Linked DNA regions of Oryzias latipes. The protein of the gene in region 2 binds, or shares a complex with, the protein of the main gene of each other region. Links are inferred from orthologs where the notes say so. Each region holds a gene or a part of one and is shown on either strand. Other genes may lie near its edges.

Region 1 (4,238 bases), on a different chromosome or scaffold from region 2:
AAAACATATGTGGCAATAATGTAAATGGCATTTTGCTTGTTTTTTTATGTTTCACCTCTCCATGCCTGAATTTATTTTCGATAATATAAAACTATTCTGTCTTTTATCCTTTCAAAGTGATGATGCTACCTTAAGTGGAGTTCTGGGTTAAATGGTACTTTACAAAGTAGTAATAGTAGTACAGAGTAATTAGCTGGGATTAATATTTGTTATATATATATATATATATATATATATATATATATTTGATTAGACTTGCATAGGTGTTTCTGTTGTATTTCTATGCTATCACACTCTTATTTCCTGTTCGCCTTTAGCTCCCTCAAAAATATGTCACAAAGCTGCTTTTATTTTCCTCTGCAGCTTCATCAAAGGTCTTCCAGTCAAGAGTGCTGCCGTCTCTGAGCAGCTGAAACAGAGTGTTGGCTTAGAACCCATGCCAAAGGGAATAAGCTACATTATTAGCACCAAGGTACATACAAATACAGACAAAGAGGATGTTCTTTGAGCTGCAGAGTGATTCTTTTTTTTGGTCATACATTCCAGGCTGGTCCAGGCCCCCGGGTTGTGAAGGATCCCTCTCTACACCTGCTGTCACCTGATGGCTTTCCTAAACTATAAGACATAAACTTTAGTTCTTTGAAAGTAGCTTTGTTTTTTTTTGTTTTTTTACGTTTACAGATTTATACAGTTTATTATGGAGCCCCTAAAGGGACATGGAGGTAAAAAAAAAAATAATAGTATTGGTTTCTCATGCACACGAGAAAAAAAACCCAGTGTGCAGCACAGCAGCTGATCAAAGCCAGTGCATCCCCGGTACCAAAACAAACTACATGACTTTAGAACTCGTTTTAGGTGACGTTCAGAGGTAACATAACGGTGACACCAGGCAAGCAAAGCTAAAGTCTTTGTAGGGGAGTCCTAAGAAATAATAACCACTTAGTTCCTCGTGTGCAACAGTTGGTTTATTGTGCGCATGAGAAACCAGTACAATTTCTTTTACATCTATGTCCCTTTAGGGGCTCCGTAGTTTATGCCAGCATAGAAGCAAAATAAATCTTAATTTCCCCATGTAAACTGTACAGTGCGTCTTCTAAGTCACTTCAAATCACGAGTTTTTAGGTTCTATTCTAAATAAATGTTAAATGTGACAGCAGCTCTTGTGTCTTCTGATTTCTTACATCATTGTCAGTAAGCTTGTTCCTTTTACTCGCTGTTAGAAAGAGATGTTATAGTTGCATTGCCTTAAAGATCTTGTATTTGTCAATGACATTAAACCTGGGATAAATAGTTTGTAAAAAATATTTTAAACTTTATTCAATGTGGCCTTTATTGTCCGTTTCATTATGTGAGAGAATGACACACAAATCCAGATGAAGGCATCAGTTAACAAACAGGAAAAAGTTAGAAACTAAACGAAGCTATTGCTTCCTTGCCAGGAAGAAAAGGGTGAAACTTTATTTAATGATTAAGTGAAATTCCTCCCTGGCCTTGCTGCACCTGTCCGGTGGGTGTTGGCCCCGCCCTCCTCCCGGGAATCCCGCATATTTTCGGAAACGACGGGCGAGGCGGGGCTGCGTCCCGCCCGCCCCGCCCCGCCCCGCTCCTCCCAGCCGCACGTCTACGGGCTGCACCTCCTCTAAAGCGCGTCGTCTTCCTTGTGCAGGCTGCAGGGTCAGGTGTCGTCGCAGGTAGAGCGTCGTAGTCGCGTCGTTTTTGGGGTCAGCACCATGGGGAGAATAGAGTGGGCCATGTGGGCCAACGAACAGGCTCTGGCTGCAGGCCTCAGTGAGTATACAAAAGATTTTTTAAGTGTTAGTATTTGCTTTTTGTCAGGTCATGAAATAACTAGGACAATTAACACTAGAACAAATAGCTCCATTTCTGTATGGTAATTCCAGTTGCAGAAATAATGTTCATCTATAGAAAGTAAAGGTGGATTGTTGTCATTAATGCTGTTTTATTTTTTTACCTTCCTGTTTCCTTCTTGTAGTTCTTCTCGCCGGAGGAATTGTGGGAGTGGCGGGGCAGTTTAGAGGCTGGGAGTTTGCTTCTTATGCTATGTATCCTTTACCTTATTATAAGAAGTGTATTGGGATTTAGACTCTTTAATACAGTTTGCACTCTGGTTCATGAGAACCAAGTGGCGCATGCGCAGGGTTAACCTGGAGAGGTTTCCCCGAATTTTAATACCTGAAAGTGTAAAGCCTCATTCACCTTTTTTTTGAAGATAATGTATATCATCCCATCTGAATATTTCAATATTTGTTTTTATAGTCTAACTACATTGTTTTTTTTCTGTGTCTTAGACAGATGAGTATTAGTTCATAACACAACTTGTGTAGTATCCGGTACACACTTCCTTATTGTGCATGTTCAGTAAATGCAGGTTCCTCCATGAGGTTTTTTTTTCTTTTCCTGTTCATCTAAGTTAAGATTTGATTTTTTCACCCAAATGTTAAAAATCATCCATTTTATGTAACCATAAAGTCCAAAATCTGATAGATTAAATTAAAAAGTTTGTTTTGTTTGTCAATTTAGCACATTTTAGTCTTATATTAAGCACTATGTGTGTTTATGATGATGATGTTGAAGTGATAACAATAATTAAAATGCCTTGACTGAAATCAAGTGCTGCTGGGGTCTTTGTGTGCCTGCTCGAGTATCCCAGGAGCAAAAGGGCCAAGGGTACGAGTGTGGAAAGGACGTAAGTTTCCCTGTAGTCTTACCTTTATTACATATTTCATCATCAGCACGTATTTTCCTAACTATTATAAGGTTTTTTACTCACTACTCATTTTCTTTCAGGGGCCAGTACTGCTTCACAGTGTGTGTAAAAGCCTTCGGACCAGTAACAAGAAACTATTATGTCAGAGCGTTTCTGCATGCAGCGTAAGTAAGATTTGAATTCTAAATTTAGAAATTCATTTCAAGCAGTCAAAACAAGAAAAAGTAAAAAAGAAAAGAAACGTGAGAGAATAACATATATAGATTTATCAAACTTAAGATCATGAATCCTTATTTGATTGGAAAAATTTGAAGTAAAAGAGAAATATTTTCAGATACATATTTGATGAAAAACAGTTTAATTAATGTCTTGAAAAGAAGTTGAATAAAGTTGACTTTGTGGTTCTGAAACAATGCCACGCTTGAATAAGTGGACTGTTTTGTGTCAATCCTTCTTTTGCCAAACGGCATTCTTTCCACTCACTAACAATAGGCTTGTGCCATGACTGTGTTTGGTCTTAAACCCTTTTGTATTTCTCTTTACAGGCTTTGTGTACCTGGAGGTTTTATGCTTGCCACAGTTTTAGGATGTGTCTGTCTTGGCATTGCCAGTCTCATCTATCTGGCAGTAAGTTGTTCAAAGCTCACCAGTTGTCAAATTTGAAAAGTGTGTTGTAATGGCGGGAAGTGGTTAGTTTCTGGAAACAAGGAAACTGCAACTTAGAAGTTGTCCCATAGTGGTGTCTCTGTTGAAACATGACATACGTTATTGCAAAACATTAAACGAAGGTGTGACTGAATTCTCCATGAGTTTCAAAGGTTCAGATGTAACACGGTTTAAATTTAGGTTTATCTCCAATTTTGAGTAAACAACATAGTCACTATCCTTTTGTGGCAAAGCATTGACATTCTCCTGCTATCTAGGCAGCTGTCCGAGGTGAACACTGGGAACCAATTCTTCCTCGCAAAGATACTCGGAAACCTGTTGCTGAAAGCATCAAAAGTCCTCCTCAGAACCCACCACCACGACCTCCTCCAGAGATACGCCGGAAGCAAGCCAAGGATGTGGAGGGAGCTGCCTATGACAATCCCATGTCTGTGACAGATGACGAGTAACTGGACCCCCCTCACAGAATGGTGGAGGAACGGTTCGCTCAAGTTAGTGACCCTGGAGAAATACAAGAAGCTGAGATCAAAGAAAAAAGTTGATATGATCAAAAAGTTGATATGATCAAAAATATACCACATACGGTAGATGTAAATGCTGTAGCTGCTAGTTTGAAAATGTAAATATACTGTTGTCAGTTTTAAGTACTGTATGTGTTAGTGTTTACTGTTTGGAAAAATATTCAAAAGGTCCAAGTCAATATCTGTTTCCTGTTCCAGCGATCATAACTTTTATAAAAGTTTTTATATTTTATAAAAGTGATCTAGAAAAATGTGTATTTACTTGTTTCTGGAGTTTTTGAAAGCAGCTAAATGCAGGTTGTGATTAAAGAATGAAAAAGTAC
Region 2 (4,372 bases):
TTTTGGGCCAGTTTTCTACATAAAAAGCCAATCAATAGTACACATCTCTTGAAATTGTTCTTTAAATACACTTTTTTTTTTTTTACAAAAAAATAAAAATAAACTGTATATGAAAAAACACAGGTCTGTATTTTAATTACCAACATTAAAAAAGTCAACGTGTTCACATCTGTATTATTAGTGTTTTTTGCTCAGGCACCACTAACCTTGGCACGGACGTTTTCAAATGAGGCCGGACTCACAAGAGAGAAGCAGATGAGGAACACATCCTGTAAGACAAAGACAAAAAAGGTTCAGAGTCCATGAAATTCATTTCCTGTTGAGCAAAAAATAAATAAAAATAAATAACCTATCGCTAAGGTGGTCTGTTTAACTTTCTTTAAAACCCTCTTCTACATTTGAATACCACAAATGCTCCCAATTAATTATTTATAAAAGTTATCAACTAAATAACACCTTGTCTGACTATTTTTGTCATTGTACCGTCTGTGGGTAAGAAAGTGGGCGGAGTCTGTCGTAGTCTTCTTGTCCAGCTGTATCCCAAAGGCCCAGGTTCACCGGCTTCCCATCCACCATAACATTGGCAGAGTAGTTATCAAACCTGTGAGAATCAAGCATTCATAAAAACTCAGTTATGTCATTCAAGCCTTGCTACATATTTCTGAATTTCTATGATCATTAGATAAATCAAACAGGTTTTTTGGGGGTCAAAAATCAAAGCCTTGTTCATCAGCAGTACATGTTTTCAGCTTGTTCTTGAATCAGAATAAAAGCAGAATGTACATTTATAAATAATCAGAATGAACCAAAGTGTTTTGAGTGACAAATTCCCAAAAAGCCACAGATCCCACAACTAAGAAAATAAACTAGCTGGTTGCACTTCTGGTAATTTTACATAACAAATGCTTCTCTGAACCCAAACAGCTGCCTGTTAAAAAAGAAAGTGACTTCTTATGTACAAGGAAACTAATATTCCCCCATAAGACCAGTTGAAGAAATGAAACAAAGACACAGTTAAGCAACAACTGTCCAGAAGAAGAATGACAGACAGCTTAGCCATTATGAATAAATAAACACTCACACTGTGGGGATGTACTCTCCTGGAAAGGCATTGGTGGTGTAGCTGATGAGTAGACATGTCTTACCCACAGCACTGAATAAGAGAAATGTTATGTTCAGAATTCAGGAAAATAAAACATATACAAGCTGTCATTAAAGTCAGGCTTAAGTTGTTCGATTATTTTACATTTACAAAGCTAAAAACAGTCCAAGCATTTTATTTAATAACATCAAAGTTACTTGAAATAATTACAACCATTAAAAATATAGTTTCAAGTTAAATGTGGACACTACGCAAAGTTTGGTTTTTAACAAACTGAAAGGAGGAAGTCTGAGAGTCACATTATCATCCGTAGGATAAAAGCAGGATCAAAATAATCCAATATCAAAAATCAATAATTGCCAGTTAATCATTTATTATCATCTCGTAGGTAATGTCAGTTTTATTGAAGCACTCCTGATAGAATGAGTGCACTGATTTCAGGAAATAAGGTTTTTTTTTCTCTTCCAGGCTAGTTGATGAGTAAGCAGATATTTTAAACTTTTGAAACTTTAAAGAGAACTGGTGCCTTAGAGTTTCTTCAAGTCGGAACGGAAAACAAAACAAAAGTCGGAGAGGTCGAGGGACGACTCCGCTGCGGTGGGACCAGCCGCACCCTCGACAAGACGTTACAAGTGTGTTTACCTCTAGCATATTACACATCAGTCAGACTTTCAATATTAGCTCATTGACAATCCTGTCTTTAAAATATTGCAAACTAAACCTACTAATTTAACTATTGTGTAACACAAAAACACGCCCGTGTCAATACAACAGAAGAAGAAACAAATTTCAACTCTTCGAAAAAGTACATATAATTTTTGCCCATTTTGTTCAAAAATAACTTCAAAACAAATCTAAGATCAATCTAACTCTATTCACTGATTTTGGCGTAAATAAATAAAAAAATCTGGAACATTGGATCCAGAACGGTAATATCAGGGGAAAAACAAATGCAATACAAAATGTTGTACATTTCGAAAAAAAAAGAAAAGAACTTGAAAGTCCAATATTTAACCGATAACTTGGCTAACTTTACAACTCCAAAAATAAGACGCAACATTTATGTCGAATGACAACTTTTCGACATCACTGGCGGTTTCAGGGTTTGATACCAAAACTGTCGATTAAATGTTAAATATCACAGTGAGTTTAGTTAGGTTCAACTTACCCGTCTCCAACAACGACACACTTTATGGCCTGCATTGCGCCGCAGCTACAGGAATGCTAAGTTAGCCCAGAGCCAGTTAACGTTAGCTCGGATAGCTTGTCCTTTGTCCGCAACTCCTCTCAAGTGAAACTACCCAACAGTCTTTGCTAACAGTCGACCGCGCTAACTCAAAACTTTCTAAACGGAGAACGGCTTGTTAGAAAATAAAGTTGCGGCGACTCAATTCGGACTTTAGGTCAACTAAACTCAGAAATTCCCTGGCAACATTCCCATGCTTTCGTGAGCTGCTCTATGAGTTATGGAGCAAAACAGCGGCCACCACCCCTATAGCTAAAGAGAAAAAAAAATGAAGCCAGCTCTACAAGATAGGGCATCCGGCGCACGCCCACAGACACCTTAACCAAAGAAAAGATAGCCTCAAACTAGTAGTAAAAAAAAGGGTCAGCTACTCTGGTCTTAAATATAAAGCTTAAAGTTATATATAAATAACATTTGAAAACTAAAATATTACATTTTGGTTTAATGAAAACAAAATAAAAGAAATCGTCGAAGACGGAATATTTACGGTGTGACACCTAGGGTGGAACTGACGTCAGTTTTGACGCGTCTACGGTTCATTTACGATTACAATGGAATTTTTGGTGTGTTGTTTAATTTCCCTGAATTATGCCTTTCAGGCTGAAAAAGTTTTTTTGGAGATGGAAGGATAGCTTGCTCTCCCACCCCTACACCACGATAAATTCAATTATACCATACCAGCAAACATGCACTGTATTAAAAAATAAAGTAGTAAAAGAAAAAAAAAGTCAATGTGTGCCTATTCTAATACGACAAAGATATTTAGCTTCAAAAATGTAACACAATCAATGATTAGTTGGTCATTGTATTTCCAAAAAGTCTGTAGTACTTTGCTTCAGTTCAAGATTTTTTGTGTAGTGAACTTCTGGAAAACAAACCAATTTACCTGGTTTTGTAATGGTGCAAAAACAACATATATACATATTTAGTAACTCAAAAAACCTCTTCTATGTTTCTGTTTGTTTAGTTTTATGAGAACCATAGTAGTTGTGTCTAGGACGTGTTTTTTTTTTCCTTAGCCACCACCCAGATCTGGAAGTCCTTTCAGTCTTTACTCGGGGTTTTATTTAATCCTGGTTTTACTGCACTTCCGTGTGTCGCAGCGATGTCTGTCCTCGGTAGAAAACTAACAGGGTGGAGTAGATGCCAGTACAACGGCAGCAAAAGACGGAGCTCGTTGAGGGTGAAAGATAGAAGAATGGAGCTTCATCCAACACTTGCAGCCATTGTAGCGTCCCCTTGCCTGTTGCCTTTGTAAGCCAAGAACACAGCGCTCAGGGTTGGGCTTTTATGGCGAGTCTTTCGTATCTGGTGCTCCGGTTTTCGGGCTCCGCTGGTCGGACTTACGGACTATTCTCCAAAGGCTTGACGAGGACTTTGTTGATATTTTTTGATCTCGCATGGCGGCTGAGAATACGATTCCCCTACTTTTACTTGGTAGCCTCAATGGTGTTTAACGTCAGATTACAGGTAAATGTTTACACACTATTTTCAGACTGACGGTCACGGTGAGCTTGTCACCATGCCAACAACAGCTGTTGGGGGGCCTCGATAGGGAACCTTTGTTCTTATAGTCAGTTAATCCCAGGTTAAATTGATATATAATCTCTACTACGTGCTGTCCCATAAAACTGGGTTCATGAAAATCATCTGTTAATCGGAAAAATAATTTACTGACATTTGATCAATAGTGAAACAAGTTCATATTCACCCATATTTAGTGTTTGTATCTGATCTAAAATAAAAAACAGTAGTCTGTAATGTGTAATCAGTCAGGGGAAACAACAAAATAGATTTTTTCAATCTTAAATATGAAATATTAGCAATAATTGATACTTTTATACCACAGAAATGTAGTATATCAGCTTTTTTCCTTGTCCTTTGAATGTGCAAAATGGAAAATGTGACGTTTTTGTCTTTTTACAGGTCCATATAGAAATCCATTGAGTCTTTAATGCAAACCTTTGGACTTTAAGAAGTGAACGGTAAGACCTCCCATGCTCAAGATGGGCTGACAGTGATTT
Region 3 (2,518 bases), on a different chromosome or scaffold from region 2:
CACACTGATGGCGGCTCCGCTGCCAAACACTGGCGCCAACCTCCCACCAGAGGCAAGTTAGGGTTCAGTGTCTTGCCCAAGGACACTTCGACACGTGGGCGTGCAAGGCGGGAATCGAACCTGCAATCTTACGATCATGGGTCGACCGCCCTACCGCTGCACCACGGCCTCCCCATACATGTGAACTCATTCACACTGATGAAGCAAAAGTTCTCAGTAAACAGGAATATGATGTCCAAACTTCCTTTCAGTTGCATCTCGTTGCTTAATGGTGATGTTGACAGAAACGCCTGGTTTGTGCGCCGCCACCACTTCCTTACCTTCTTTTCTTTGCACCACAAAGTGATGCGCCCGGCACGGACCTGGCTCCACACCGTTTCCATGTCTGTGTTTGCATCAATCGCACGTTGTCCGCTTGAATCTAAGCTGAAGCCAAAATACGACGGTAACTTTTGTCATACAAAGATGAGGATCAATGGAAGGTGTCAGTTTTGGGGTTAAAATGATGGCTCTACCTTAAGGAGATGTTGTCTGACGGGAGCTTCACCTTCTTGCTTATTTTTCTTATCAGCACTTCATAGGAAGACTCACGTGGTATTGAGACAGCAAAGGTGAATGTGAAGTGAACTTTGACGATGTATAAACTGTCTGGAACCTTGGATTTGAAAGGAAACCGAATGATCAACGAGGCGTTTATGATGAGGACCACTGACTGTTGGGTTTGTCTCAGCGTACCGTCTGCTCTTCATTTCCATTGCTGTCGTTCCCAGAACTGAGACCTGAACGGCAACAGACCAGATCAAACATGGAGAAACGGAGGAAACGAGAATGTTTTAAAGCCTGTGTGTCATAAAATCTACCTCGAGTCCTCTCCGGTATATTCGGTGCTTCTCGACTTGAAGTTGGAACCAAACCCTGGTGACAGTTATTCCCATTAAAGGCAATTTTCAACAACACGCAAAAATTTGAGAGGAAATCAGGATACTTAAAGATTGAAACTACTCCACATGTCAAAGTTGAGCTTTTAATAAAAAATATAAATATTGTGTATCAATTAGGGATGCCACAAGTGTTGATCAGAAACCAAACCGTATGTTAAACCATTAAAGTGAATCGTTGAACACGGCATACCAGTGTTTTAGGTTAAAAGTGTTCAACAAGTGTGCTAAATTTAAAAAGCATTCAGGCTGTATTCAGATTGGAAACATTTGCTCAACTTGAAGAGAACCAGAGTTCATTTCAAGTTTCATTCTGAGGACCCTGGCAAGCAGACCCTGATCCTGGACCAGGAACCGCTCTCTGATCCGTCTTTCGAGGTGGTTTCAGTTCATTTCCAATCAGACTCATTTCTGGAGTTTTTCTCAGTCTGAATAGACTCCATATTCAGAGCAGAACAACTGAACCTAAACGGCTACCTCATCTTTACAGGATGTAAACGGATGAGCCGCAGAGAATTGTGGAGCGACGATGAGACGCAGCAACTCATTAAATTTAATGAGCAACTCTTTAGCTCATTAAAATAACTTTTAACGTGATACACATTGTTTTCACAGTGTTTCCCGACAATCTGTGTCATAAACAGTTATCTTGCAGCCTCCGACACAGACGTTCAAAATTGTTCAGCAAAATATAAAGTTTGGATAATCCGACATGGATTGTAGGACTTTCATTATTTATCTCCTTGCTGTGTCCTGCCAATGGTTGCAGAGATTTTCAATCACATGCTTTTGTTTACAAGCTTTGGTTCGAAACAAATCTCCAGCTGAAAAGCCATCTGAGTACAGACCAAATGCAAGGTTCAGGACTTGATCCAGACCAAATTAGGCAAACTGGGTCTAGACCAACTAACTTCTCCAGTCTGAATACATCCTAGTATTTATTGTTTTGTTACATTACCCCAACCCCAAGTATGAGCCAAGTGAAGTCTTTCACTTCATTGTAACTCGCTGATTACCAAATTAAAAAAAAGGATTTGTCCAAATTTTTTGTTTTTTGTCATTTTATAAACAAATCTTATATCAAAATGACACAAAACTGTGACCCAAAAAAAAATCAAAATTTGTGCTAAATCGTGGAGAAAGTGAATCGTTGCATCCCTAGTACCAATACCTTTTTCTGTTTTAAAGCCAGAGAGATCTCCTGACGCTCCAGGTAATTGTACGGTACGAGTCCCGTCTGTAATCATAACCACGAATAAGCACTCAGTTCTCTACTAAACACACAATCTGGGGGAAAAAAATGATGCACACACTCTCAAGAAGTATCACAGATTGTGCATACGGCATTCTTACTCTTCCATTGAAGATGACATAGGCCCAGTTGTCTGCCCCTTTCTGCAGCACGAACACCATGTTGCCGGGCTTCACGGCCAGCTCGTCGCAGGTTTCAGGAACAAACTCAAACAGTACAGTGTGGGGTTCACCTTCCAAGGCTCTATGAAGAATAGACACACAAAGGGTATCGTAACACACGTGTCTTTTTGTCATTGAAGGAAGATGACGTTTAATTTGATGAAAAT

The links.
Region 1: ras-related C3 botulinum toxin substrate 1 (region 2) and cytochrome b-245 light chain share a complex: the UniProt entries of both Homo sapiens proteins name them as parts of the phagocyte NADPH oxidase complex. The link is inferred for Oryzias latipes from reciprocal best matches to the Homo sapiens genes RAC1 and CYBA.
Region 3: ras-related C3 botulinum toxin substrate 1 (region 2) and ncf2 share a complex: the UniProt entries of both Homo sapiens proteins name them as parts of the phagocyte NADPH oxidase complex. The link is inferred for Oryzias latipes from reciprocal best matches to the Homo sapiens genes RAC1 and NCF2.

The regions. Positions count from the first base shown.
Region 1 is NC_019861.2:22,090,651-22,094,888, forward strand, and holds the start of cytochrome b-245 light chain, read left to right. Parts: upstream 1-1,320; 5' UTR 1,321-1,730; coding exon 1,731-1,788; intron 1,789-1,993; coding exon 1,994-2,063; intron 2,064-2,632; coding exon 2,633-2,707; intron 2,708-2,808; coding exon 2,809-2,892; intron 2,893-3,273; coding exon 3,274-3,355; intron 3,356-3,651; coding exon 3,652-3,843; 3' UTR 3,844-4,238. Other genes in the region: mvd (diphosphomevalonate decarboxylase), read left to right, coding at 364-472, 547-621. UniProt on the Homo sapiens protein: Subunit of NADPH oxidase complexes that is required for the NADPH oxidase activity that generates, in various cell types, superoxide from molecular oxygen utilizing NADPH as an electron donor.
Region 2 is NC_019866.2:11,732,785-11,737,156, forward strand, and holds the start of ras-related C3 botulinum toxin substrate 1, read right to left. Parts: upstream 2,854-4,372; 5' UTR 2,306-2,853; coding exon 2,271-2,305; intron 1,154-2,270; coding exon 1,082-1,153; intron 602-1,081; coding exon 484-601; intron 270-483; coding exon 207-269; intron 1-206. UniProt on the Homo sapiens protein: Plasma membrane-associated small GTPase which cycles between active GTP-bound and inactive GDP-bound states.
Region 3 is NC_019878.2:10,708,107-10,710,624, forward strand, and holds part of ncf2 (neutrophil cytosol factor 2), read right to left. Parts: intron 2,434-2,518; coding exon 2,292-2,433; intron 2,176-2,291; coding exon 2,110-2,175; intron 916-2,109; coding exon 861-915; intron 780-860; coding exon 736-779; intron 656-735; coding exon 516-655; intron 427-515; coding exon 321-426; intron 1-320. UniProt on the Homo sapiens protein: Subunit of the phagocyte NADPH oxidase complex that mediates the transfer of electrons from cytosolic NADPH to O2 to produce the superoxide anion (O2(-)).